3 linked regions of the Caenorhabditis elegans genome follow. The protein of the gene in region 1 interacts with the protein of each later gene in a pairwise test. Each region holds a gene or a part of one and is shown on either strand. Other genes may lie near its edges. The genes, in order: gst-24, hpo-9 and ZK632.12.

Region 1 (3,177 bases):
CGACGGGGGGAAACAACGTGGTTTATGCGATGGCGGCGGGGAGGTCACTGCCATCTTGATATTGATCTCAGAAGATAATTCGATTTATTTGTAATTGGATATGGCGGCGACGATTCATGGTCTTTTGTAGGAAAAATGATGACAAACATGACTTTTTTGTTCGAAAATATGGGATTTCTAGAATGATCTCTGTCGAAAAGTTCAAAAGTTTCATAGGCTTGCAGGCAGGCATAGGCAGTCTTGTAGGTATGCAGATAAACATAGGTTACCTTGCAGGCATTTAGTCAGGCTTGTATGGAAGGCATGCAGCCAGGCATAGGTTTATTTGACGGCAGGATGTTTCTTTTGATCGCAAACTCCCCAGGTGTGACTTACGCCTTCTTTGTGCCTACACCCATGCCTACTGTCTATGTTAGACCCTTTACGTAGGCCACAGACTGCCCGCTTGCCTTCAAGGCAAACTACACCTGCCTCGTGCCTAGATAACTTGCCTTCTAACAGACATACGTTTGATCTACTGCCTACTGTCAAAACCATCTTTTTTAGGTGGTAGGCAGCCTGAAAGCGTGCCTACCTACCTTAGAATCACTCATTATGATATAATAATCTTTATTAACATACACATAATATATCAAACAACAGAATCTGGTCTCGACGAGTTGTGCTCCTTGATCTCCGGTATCTCATTAACCTTCTCACGGAGCGCTGCAAGCTTCTGCTCCTCTCCGTGCTTATCAAACACTCCCAGCATCTCCATAGTTGTCAAAATATCAGCTATCACCAGATCAGCCCAAGTTACACCATCTCCGACTAGGAATCCTGACTTGCTCTTCTCAAGAATTCCATTAAGAATTTTGAAGAATGTATCCCGGGCCGGCGCGAAGACCTCCTTTTGGATTCGCTCGATTTCCTCCGCATTTCCGGATCTTTGAGCCATGATGAGTTGGCGTAGTGGGGTGACGAAGTCTTTGAATTGATCTACGATTGCATCCACCCACGCTTCTTCCTCTGATGTTTTTCCAGCGTAGCCGAATTTTTTGGCAAGGTAGCGGAGAATTGCAGCGGATTGGGGGATTTCGAAGCCATCGACTGAGAGGAATGGGAGCTGACCAAATGGGGTTTCTGGAAGATTCCTGGGTTGGGATTCAGACTTAGGCTTAGGTTTAGGCTTTCGCTTAGGCTTAGGTATAGTCATAGGCCGAGGCATAGGCTTAGGCTTAGAGTGGACCACCGTATCTGATTTTTAAAAAATTCTCAAAATCCGTGACAGTTATACAAATACCACTAAAAATGTTTCAAAAACTCACTTGGCTTCAACGCTCCCCACTCTGGAGTTCCATTCTCAATACGAACATCCTCAAACTCGACGTGAGCCAGCTTGAAGAGCTGCCGAGCCGGCTCAGCCCATCCACGAAGGTTGAAATAGTAGAGCTTGTATTGTGGCATTGTTTGTTGATGGGAGATGATTGAGTAGTACTTTATATACACAAAGTCGTTTCGAAAATCTCCGAAATTGAGGGGAGGGAGAGTGAGAGAAATAGAGAAATAGAAGAGTGGTTTGTGTTTTTGCGAAGAAACACTGGTCACAAAACAAAAAGTCAGAAAATTGGAAAAATTTTTGAAAAATTCAGAAAATGCATCAAAAGCTGTTTTTTTTTCAAAAATTCAAAAGTACTGAAAAATCATATGAAGTGCTTCATTTTTCTTTTATAAAACTGTTTAGCATGATAAAATATACCAAAAAATATTAAATAAAATTTGCTAACTTGTACGGAAGATTATTTTAAAAAGTTCAGAAAATACATCAAAAGCTGTTTTTTTCAAAAATTCAAAAGTACTGAAAAATCATATGGAGCCCTGTTGCACTTCTCGCACTATTATTTCAAAAAAAAGTATTTCGGTAAAAAAATATCCGCATAAAATACTACAATATGTTTATTATCTTTTATCACAGTTTTTAAAAATTCAACGCGATTCAAAATTTAGACTTCTGTATCCATTCTCGTCGCAATATGATCCTCCAAATCTGGGGTTCCATAGATTTTCTCCTTATACTTTTTCAAATTCTGATGTCCTTCATCATCATCATCGATGGCTCGAAGCTTCTCCAGACTGTGCAAATTATCAGCTATAACTAGATCAGCCCATGTGAGCCCATCACCAACTAAATAACCTGACTTGCTCTTTTTGAGAATTCGATTGAGAAGAATAAAGTAGACATCTCGAGCTGGATTGAAAATCTCGTAGCGGATTTTGAGGATTTCTTCTTCTGGTTTCCCGGCCCTTGTGGCAAAAAGGAGTGTTTTAAAAGCAACGGAGAAGTCTTTGAATTGGTCGACAACGGCGTCCGCCCACGCTTCTTCTTCTGGAGTTTTTCCGGCATAACCAAATTTCTTGGCAAGGTATCGACAAATTGCAGCAGATTGGGGGATGTCGAAGCCATCAACGTTGAGTACTGGGAGCTGACCAAATGGGGTTTCTGGAAGTTGAATTAATTATGGCAGGTCTTCTTTGTAGGCACGCTTGCCTACATGCCTACGTCTGCCATCGTGTGTTCATACTCTCAGTTTGTAATCGAACATTTTATACTTAACACAAATATTTGAAATCTGCGCTAAACAAGAAGTCACAATGGAGAGCACGTAGGCAGGCAGGCAAAAAGTAGGCGCGTACGCCTGAAGATCTTATGAAACCCTAAAGCTGGATGTAGTGACTTTCTATTTATACGAAAAAAAAACAGAAATATCTAATCCTTTCTACAAGCTACAAACTACAAACTACAATATACAAACTACAAACTACAATCTGCAGACTACAAACTACAACCTATATTCTACATAATACGAATTACGGACTACAAGTAACAAACTATTTTTTTGACAAAAATTAATTTTTCAAAATACTTTCGTACCAAAAAACCTTTTACAAACTACAAACTAGCACCTACAAACTACAAACTACAAATTAAAAACTACAAACTACAGACTACAAACTACGAACTACAAACTACAAACTACAAAAAGATTTTTCCCCGAAAGCCAAGAAATTTAATGTTTTTTAGTTCAAACTTTTTCAAATTAAGTGTGGCATCAGTAACTACAAACTACAAACTACAAACTACAAGCAACACATTTCACTTTAAGAACTTACTGTCTCTCATTTTCTCCCATTTCCCTT
Region 2 (4,564 bases), on another chromosome or scaffold:
TAGGTTCTGAAGGACATTTCTATGATGGGATAGACTGACCCATCTGGGCTTTTGGAGTGATGATCCAAATATGCTGAAGTGAATAAACTGAGCCAGAGCTGGAAAACTATGCGAAAATTGTGGATTTTAAAGTGGATTATTACTTTCGCAGTCTAATCGATGGCCATCACCTAGTCGGGACAGCCTTAACTCTAATTTTGGCTTGGATGGATCATCACTACTTGTACTAGGAGACTTGGTTGGTTTTTCAGAGCTTGTTAATCGACGTCTTTTTGTTGCACCTGAAATTAATTTCTTTTCCTGGAATTTATTTTTTTATTTATTCCCCTTACATTGAAATTCATGTTCTGCTTGTTCTGGTGATTTGAATAGGTTTTCTATCTCTGATTTGAGACTTTTCCTCAGTTCTCGCTTCGCCATCCCTCTCAAAAATCTGAAAAAAACGGTTAGAATTTCAAGAATAAAGAAAATAAAAAAATAAATTTATTTTCGGTGTGTGGCGTCCGTGTATGTGGTTTTTTTTCAAAAGAAATTATTAACATTTTTATTCAATAAATTTAATAACTTATTTTTCATCAGACATTTAAGTGAAATAATGCATTATATATATTTCTGTAACCCGGTTTTATTTTATGGCAATTGGAACGTTTGAGGGAGCCTCGAGATGTACAACGTGAAAGACTTCGTTTATGGAATTCCGGGTACCAACAAGTCGAATATACACAACTGGAAGAGGATCAAATATGAGTTCTTGCCATCCATGACATTCTTCATTGGTGCGGTCGACAATCGTAACCCATTCGTCTTGATTCTTCGATACGGCAACATAATACGAGTAGAATCGATCATCACAATTCCATAACAAAATTCGCATTGAAGATATAATGTAGGGCTGAGCAAGTTGAATCATGATGAGACCACTTCCAATTTGATGACACGTGTATCCAGTATCCCAGTCGTAGGATGAGGAATCCCCGTTGATAAGAGCATTCCGACATCGAGAAACTCCTTCAACAACCCGTGCGTGATTTTCTATCGTTGTGATGTTTCGATGAGGAACTGAGAAAATTGAAATTATATTACATTTCCACAGCAAAATGTGATACCTATGACTTTGTGCACAGGTTCGACAGGCATTGTTTCGGTAGAGAACATGGCTTCGATTCGACTTCCTTCCAGTTTACACGACATTGAATTGTTGACTCGGATCAAAATATGCCTGAAATGCAAATTATGGTGAATAATTTTCGAGTTTCACGGGTTTTCTGTAGAAAATTACTATAGGCGCTGTAGTTTTTTTTCGAAAGTTTTAAATGTTTCGGAAAATGAATAAAAAATAGATCAATTAAACTTCGCCCGTTAGTTCCAAAACCGCCGAAATGTTTTTGAATTTCTACTATTAATGCAATGGATTTTACAATAAAATCAATCACTTACCGCACAACAGAATCTGTGAAGAAGAGTCTTTGTGTTCCTCGACAATCATATTCCGAGTAATCAGCAACTAGATTCCAATGAGCATCAACTCGATTATCCATACTAACGTGAACTTGGTATGTAAATGCTTGAACTTCATTTTTCCAGTTAAAATCCATCATAATTGTATTGATAATGAATGGTTTTCCGAGATCAATTTGAAATACACTAATATTCTCGTCATTAGTGTAGCGACTGCTGAGCTCTCGTGACAATGGCTGTGCGTGTGGATAGTGTGGAATTATATTCGTGTCGAGGCCTATAAAATGGAATAGATTAAACAGAAAATAAATAAAATTCAACTCACTTTTGCATCCTCTGAATGGAATCTCGTGTGGTCTTTGTGTTTGAACTTCTATAGCATCCAGAAGAGTATCAGCTGACACCAACCCAGTTGGTCTTACACAATTAAGAAGTTCGGTTTGTGTTATAAGGGGAAGTCTGACCAATTCCAGCAAAACTTTTGATGCTTCTTTCATTGTTGGATTATTCTGATGCCATGAACGTACCGCATTGAAGATCTTCAATTCTAATGCAAAAAATGAATCTCTCGCAAGAAGCTCCTTCAGACTATCTCCTGATAATCGGTTGAAGCTGGGATCTTCGAGAAGCTGATCTGCATGTTTATCAGAATATTGCATGCAATAATCTATAAGATCAGTGAATTGAAAGAAGTATGCAGCATTGAAAATACTACACAAGTTCTCATTCTTCAAAATTTCCTTGAAATATTCGCTTATTGCTGTCATAAGCTGAATTAAATCATAACGATGTGCCAGACTGAGATATTCTAGCAAAATATCCAGTTCCACTCCGGCAAAATCGATTTTCGATGTGTACATGTACCGAAGAACAGCTCGGAAGGCTACTGAATTCGTTTCCTGAAGAGTCACAAGCTGTTGATGGCTTTCTTGAAAACCTGTATAGAGCATAGCTCGAAAAAAGCTACTTCTCACAGCCAAGATCAAACGATGGGCAGCAAATTCAGTTCCATCGTCGAGAACAAGAGTTACATCGGAGTGGTCTGTTGAAGTGAAAATCTCATCGAAACTTTGTGAAAGCTCATCAAGATGTTGTACAACAGATTTGTTAACTGAAATAATAGCTAATTTTGGTCAATTTTTCTGCTTTTAGAGACTTACCGCTATTCACCGCATTAAAATTATTGGAAATGGCGGCGGATTCTGTTCTCATAGTTTCGACAATTCCTCGTCCATCTTCTTGAATCGGCCGCCCAAAAGCATGGTTATCGCTCATGTACCTGAAAACCCGTCATTATCATTAATTATTGAATTTTAATAAAAAAGTTATTTTAAATTTAATTTTTCGGGATAAAATTAGAAAATTCGGAAAAGTTTTTAACAAGGAGAATGATGGGCGGAGTCATGTTTGGCAATCTGGGCGCACTGTTTTGCAATGGCACCGCGCGCGCTATTTTTTTAAGATTTGAACCTGGCGCGCTTTCTGGCGTTCAATAGAGCACGTTTGCTTTTTTGTTTTTTATTTGTTTTTTTTTTGCACGAACAATATTGTTTGTTGTTACAGAAAAACCCCACCATCTTGTGACTGATCAGATCATTGTGACAATCTCAAAAATATTTTCAAAACGTTACGGGTAGTTTAACGTGTACGTCATTTCCTCCTTGTTCATAAAACACGCTTCATCGAGCATTTGGCTTCAAGGAAAAATGGCAAATTTTACCACTGAAAACGAGCTCGAAGATATTCTTCATCAAATGGGTCACCATATACATGACAAAAACCAATTTGCAACTTTCAAGAATGGTTAGTTTTTTTTCCTAAAATATTTAAATCCAATATAAAAGATCGTATTCTTCAGAAATTGATAATCTACTCGACCGAGAGCTTTGTCTGTCAGATGCCGATGAAGACGTTATGAATGAATCTCTATTTGCTTCATTATCAGTTGATCCAGCCGCTCAATTCATACGACAAGAACGAAATTTTCCAACCGAAAATCTGAATATTCAGTCCCCAATTGTTTCTAGAAGTGAGTTAAGTTTTAAGATTTTCTTCAATTAATCTGTGATTTTTTTTCAGAAAGACAAGGAAAACGGTTTATCTACGAAAATGTAGAGTTACAAAGCGATTTCGACGATGAAAGCTCAAACGAGTATCCTGAGAGAAACCTTCTGGTCGATCGAGCGTGGCGAAGCATACATCGTGCAATGGAAACATGCAATGGTGCCACAGAGGTTTTGACTTTTTCGTTTTTTTTTTTGTTGAAAAATGCTGACTTCCATTCAAGATTTTTTCCATAGATTAAGCTGGAAAATGTTCAAAAAGTCTAAAAATAATAAAATTGAATCCTGTGAGCCAACCGAACGTCAAGATTCAGATGTTTGTGCATTTTATTTTATAAAAAATAAGTTTTAAATATTTTTTCAGACTCTTAAATCAATATCACTGGATGGCAGCGACATACAAGAACGATCAAGTGTGGATGATGAGGAAAATATCGCTGAATCAGTTTCCGTGGGGTTAAGCACTGAAACTGAACAATCAGAGCTTCAAAAATCTTCACGACCGGAAAAAGAAGTTTGGACTCGGAATGTGTTGTCACTTGAACCAGGAAGAGCACCAAAAAAATATGATCCGGTCACAAGATATCATTTCTACAAGTAATTCATTTTATTCAGTTTGAGAGTGTCGTGACTGTGTAGTAGCGATGGAAGAACGTTTTATTTATAATTTTGATTTAGAAAAAATTAAAATACTTTAAAAAGTATTGGCATTATTGAAAAAATCAAAGTATCAAAAATGCCAATTTTTGAAAAGAAAGAAAATATTGGAAAAAAAAAGTTTTCGAAATAATTAAAATATTTCCAACAATATAGACTGAATGAAATAGAATAAAAATCAAATATTTTGATAAAATCGTATTTCCAAAAAAAAAAAGATTAAAAAGTTTTTTTTTACATTTTCAAAAATATGCCAATTTTTAAAAAATCTAAAAAAAGTAAAAAAAAATTAAAATTTGGAAAAAAAACAAAAATATGTTTTAAAAAATGGATAAATTTGTGGAAAATTCAAATCTTTAAAAAATTATATACATTTTTGAAAAAAT
Region 3 (4,030 bases), on another chromosome or scaffold:
AATATTCAAGAAAAGTGAAAAAGCGGAGAAACGAAGAGCCAAATCAACTCCGAAACATAAAAAGTTCGCTAATGAAGATGATGATGATGTTATAGTAATCACAAGTGATGAAATCAAAATTGACAAGTTCAATACTCCGGGAGAAGTAAATTAAATTAAAATAAAAATTCAATATCAGTTACTTTTCCAGGAAGATTCCATTATAATACTCGACGGCTCTGCTTCAACAGAAGAAAAACACCTTTTGACTCCGATTCGAAAAGATGTAAAACTAGGAGAATCGATGTTTGAATTAATCGGAACTCCAGTGTTTGGTAGCTCTCTTCTTACTCCTGTTGCTCCACTTGAAGCGTTTGCCGTCGGAATTCAACCATTTGAAGCAAGAGAAGAACTTACTGGATGCAAGGGAAACTTCAGAAATCTCATGGACAAATTGAAAGAAATCCGCGAAAATAACTTCGTTCCGGAGCCTGAAGAAGAAGTTATTTTGGTTTCAACGAATGAAATTTCGTCGTCGAATAACTCTGGAACTGCTAAGAACAAAAATAATCAGAACAGGAAAAGAAATAGAAGACATGCTAAATGAATTGGCTTTTTGAAAAATCCTTTTGTTGAATTATTGTTGTTGCTTAAAATTGTTGTTGTTGTTCCATATTTTTACGCAAAACTACCATGATAAAACCTTTTTTCTTGATTTTCCAACCTCTCTCTTGTTGTAAATGGTTCCGAATGTCCACAATCTTCTATTTTGGTCATCAATTATATCTTTATCTCTGCGTTTCTTTCACTCTTGCCGCTTTCCGATGGATTGGTGACACACAGCAAATATCGGTTTTCTCAATTTAAACTAAATTGGTCTAATTGGCTTATGTTTAATCAGATTATTTCGAGAAACCTGTGAATATTAAAAAGATGGTATAGGTTTTGAGGGATTTTTTGCCGAATTTATTTTTTAGAAAGTGATGGAATTTTTTATGATTGCAAATTTTTTTAAAAATTATTTAAAAACGAGCTGAATTATTTTTTGAATTCCCGCGCAAACGAATTCCTAAAGTTTCGACGTTTTCAGGTTATATTATTAAGGTTTTTATTAAATTATTGATTCGAAACATAATTTTGTAAAACTTTCATACATTTTTTCCCGCAAAACAAGTTTACATTATTGATTTGAGGCCAGATTTAGAGTTTCAGAGAAGTTCTTTAGATTAACAAAATAAAATAAAAAGAAACCCCAATTAATATAGCCGGAAAAAGCAAAAAATATCGAAATTGTGTAGATCACTTGCGCGGGAATTCAGAAAAAGTTTAGCCTTTTTAATCATTTTTTTTCCAAAATTGAAAAAAATCATTTAAAACAATGTTCAAATTTTGTAATTTTGTTACAGTTATTTTCGGTAAATATATTGAGATTGTTATTGTTAATTAGAAGGAAAACCTACAAAATCTGCTCCCATACCATGCATAACTATATTTAAGATCCGAAATCTTATTCAAAAAAGTAATAAAATTAATTGAAACCTTTTTTCCAGGCCACCAGTTGTTCTTATCATTCATTCGTGACAATTTATTCATTGCATTCTTTTTCTTTCGTTCAGGCAGCGGTCCACTGGCTTGTCCATCCGATTGTTTGCACATAAAGTGTATGATGACTCATCACATTCCTTTTCCCTCTCTTCTTATTCTGTTCTCACTCAAAATAATTTTTTGTTATGATTTTCAACCTTCTTCGTCTCGAACTAAATTTATGAATTTTTTGAAATATTCAAAGTTTTCAGCGGATTCTTTCCATCGTTTCTAAATCACAAAACACAATGGTTGATCGACTTGGTAAGTTTTATTTATTTTCTTTTATAAAATAATTTATTAAATTTTAGTGAATAGTGAAGTGAATTCCCGTCGAATGGCTAACGTAGAACAATGCTTTGGAAAAATGGGAGAACAATTGTCGGTATTCGGACGAGTTCTTGTCGGAGAAGGTGTTCTTGTGAAAATGTGCCGAAAGAAACCGAAGCAACGGCAATTCTTCTTGTTCAATGATATTCTTGTATATGGAAACATTGTGATTTCGAAAAAGCGATATAATAAGCAAAGAATTCTAAGATTGGAAGGTGTACAAGTAGAAGATCTGGAAGACGATGGAATTGAGAAACATGGATGGATTATTAAGACACCTGCAAAATCGTTTGCAGTTTATGCAGCAACTGAAACTGAAAAACGAGAATGGATGTTGCATATTGAGAGATGCGTTACAGATCTCCTTGAAAGAGGTAATACACGAAAATTATTTTCAAAAAATTTCCACCAAAAAATTGCAGAGAAAGTTTGAAACCACCGTAATCTTTAAAGGCGCTTACCATTTTCCGTTTCAAAAAATCTTGTCGTTTCGAGACCGAAAACCGTATTTTTAATGCAACAATCGCAACATTTTTCGTCTAATTAATATTAAGCTTAAATAAGTCTTAGGCGCATTGTGGTCTTTTTATTTAAAAAAATGTTGGCAGCAATGTTCAATTTAATTTATAAATTGTGATGCAAAATTGGTCCATAGATCGACAAGTTACAGTAATTTGTTGTCCGCCTGGCGAGACCCATGCGCCTAAGATAGGTGAAAAATTCTCATATTTAAATGACCAATAATATACGTTCTACAAAAAAATTGGGAATCACCATATCTCTAAATTAAAACGGTTTTTTAGATAAATTATTTTTTTCTATTAAAAATACAATCAAAATTTTCTACTTTCAGGAAATAAGCAAGCCGCGACTGCTCACGCAGCTGTATGGGTTCCCGATGGTGAAGCAGTGAAGTGTATGGTCTGCGGGAAAACTCAATTCAATCTGGTTCAAAGAAGACATCACTGCAGAAATTGTGGACGTGTCGTGTGTGGCGCCTGCTCATCGAGAACATTCCGTATTGACAATGTACATAAGAAGCCTGTCCGAGTTTGTGATCATGTACGGTGAAGTTTGACACTTTATCGTCTAAATATCATGATTTTTCAGTGCTTTGACAGTCTGAGTAGTGCCACACCAGGACAAGAAGAAAGTGAACCAAAAACGGGAAATCGCTTGCACCATGAGGATTCCTCCTCGGATAGTGAAGACGAGGTCAATGGTAGTGGACGATCGAGTAATGAGAGCCGGGTATACTGAATATTGCCTAATCTTTCAATAAACATACAAATTTCAGCCAACATTCTACCGTGAGGACGTTCAGCAGCCGGCAACATAGTTCAACGCATATAAACTACGATGAAAATTCTAAAATCCACGTCCTCATTCCTACTACTAAATTAATATTATATTTTCTTAAACGTTCCTGTGATATACAGCAATTGTACGTATTTTTTTTTGTTGCTTCCAACGACTTTTACAATTCCTGAAAAAAAGTTATTTCCTTTTTCTTCAATTCAAGATTATTCAGAACTGCACAAAATTAAAACGACCACATGACAGAAGGAATCATTTTAATAATCATGAATTACAGAAATGATCAAATTTCTTGTCCTTACAAGAAACAGCGCAATTAACTGAAGTGTTCAGAGAAACGTATGGTCCATTCGGCTTGGAATCATATAAATGTTCTTAAATTATTAAAAGTAAAATAAATGTTTTATTTACATATGATTAGTGAAATCAGAGCACAAAAGTGTGCAATGAAAAATAAATTTTATTTTCTGGAGTACTGTAAGCGGGCACATGGTGTATTGTACGCAGAGTTCTTCGAGTGTTTGCGTATCCACGTTGTTCTCCACGTGGACAAAACGCGCGGCACGTTTACTTTCTGAAAATTCGTTTTATTTTTGCATTACTGTCTTCTTAAAAGCTGAAAATGGCTGCAAACGAAGTGTAAATTTCATAAATTCCTAAGCTTTTATTCATATATATATATATATATATATTTCATCATGTCCTATTTTTGCAGTGATTCCATGGAACCAGGAGAATTGATGGAAGTGGATACGAGCCAGGAGCTGGATGAAAACACTTCGGCGAAGGAAACGGACCAGCCGAGTTCGTAATAATGTTA

The links.
Region 2: the proteins of gst-24 (region 1) and hpo-9 interact in a two-hybrid assay, tested with the Caenorhabditis elegans proteins (one large-scale study listed by BioGRID).
Region 3: the proteins of gst-24 (region 1) and ZK632.12 interact in a two-hybrid assay, tested with the Caenorhabditis elegans proteins (one large-scale study listed by BioGRID).

Annotation. Positions count from the first base shown.
Region 1 is NC_003280.10:13,609,849-13,613,025, forward strand, and holds gst-24 (glutathione transferase), read right to left. Parts: upstream 1,519-3,177; 5' UTR 1,447-1,518; coding exon 1,308-1,446; intron 1,123-1,307; coding exon 632-1,122; 3' UTR 595-631; downstream 1-594. Other genes in the region: gst-15 (glutathione transferase), read right to left, coding at 1,983-2,479, 3,151-3,177.
Region 2 is NC_003283.11:7,234,394-7,238,957, forward strand, and holds hpo-9 (BTB/POZ domain-containing protein 9), read right to left. Parts: upstream 2,738-4,564; 5' UTR 2,734-2,737; coding exon 2,619-2,733; intron 2,570-2,618; coding exon 1,784-2,569; intron 1,736-1,783; coding exon 1,438-1,735; intron 1,220-1,437; coding exon 1,107-1,219; intron 1,060-1,106; coding exon 626-1,059; 3' UTR 529-625; downstream 1-528. Other genes in the region: C05C8.5 (Exonuclease domain-containing protein), read right to left, coding at 1-98, 144-281, 333-420; Centriolar and ciliogenesis-associated protein hyls-1, read left to right, coding at 3,165-3,261, 3,317-3,487, 3,538-3,692, 3,886-4,118.
Region 3 is NC_003281.10:9,829,027-9,833,056, forward strand, and holds ZK632.12 (uncharacterized protein), read left to right. Parts: upstream 1-1,775; 5' UTR 1,776-1,811; coding exon 1,812-1,827; intron 1,828-1,874; coding exon 1,875-2,267; intron 2,268-2,746; coding exon 2,747-2,955; intron 2,956-3,003; coding exon 3,004-3,144; intron 3,145-3,190; coding exon 3,191-3,232; 3' UTR 3,233-3,397; downstream 3,398-4,030. Other genes in the region: ZK632.11 (uncharacterized protein), read left to right, coding at 1-145, 191-586.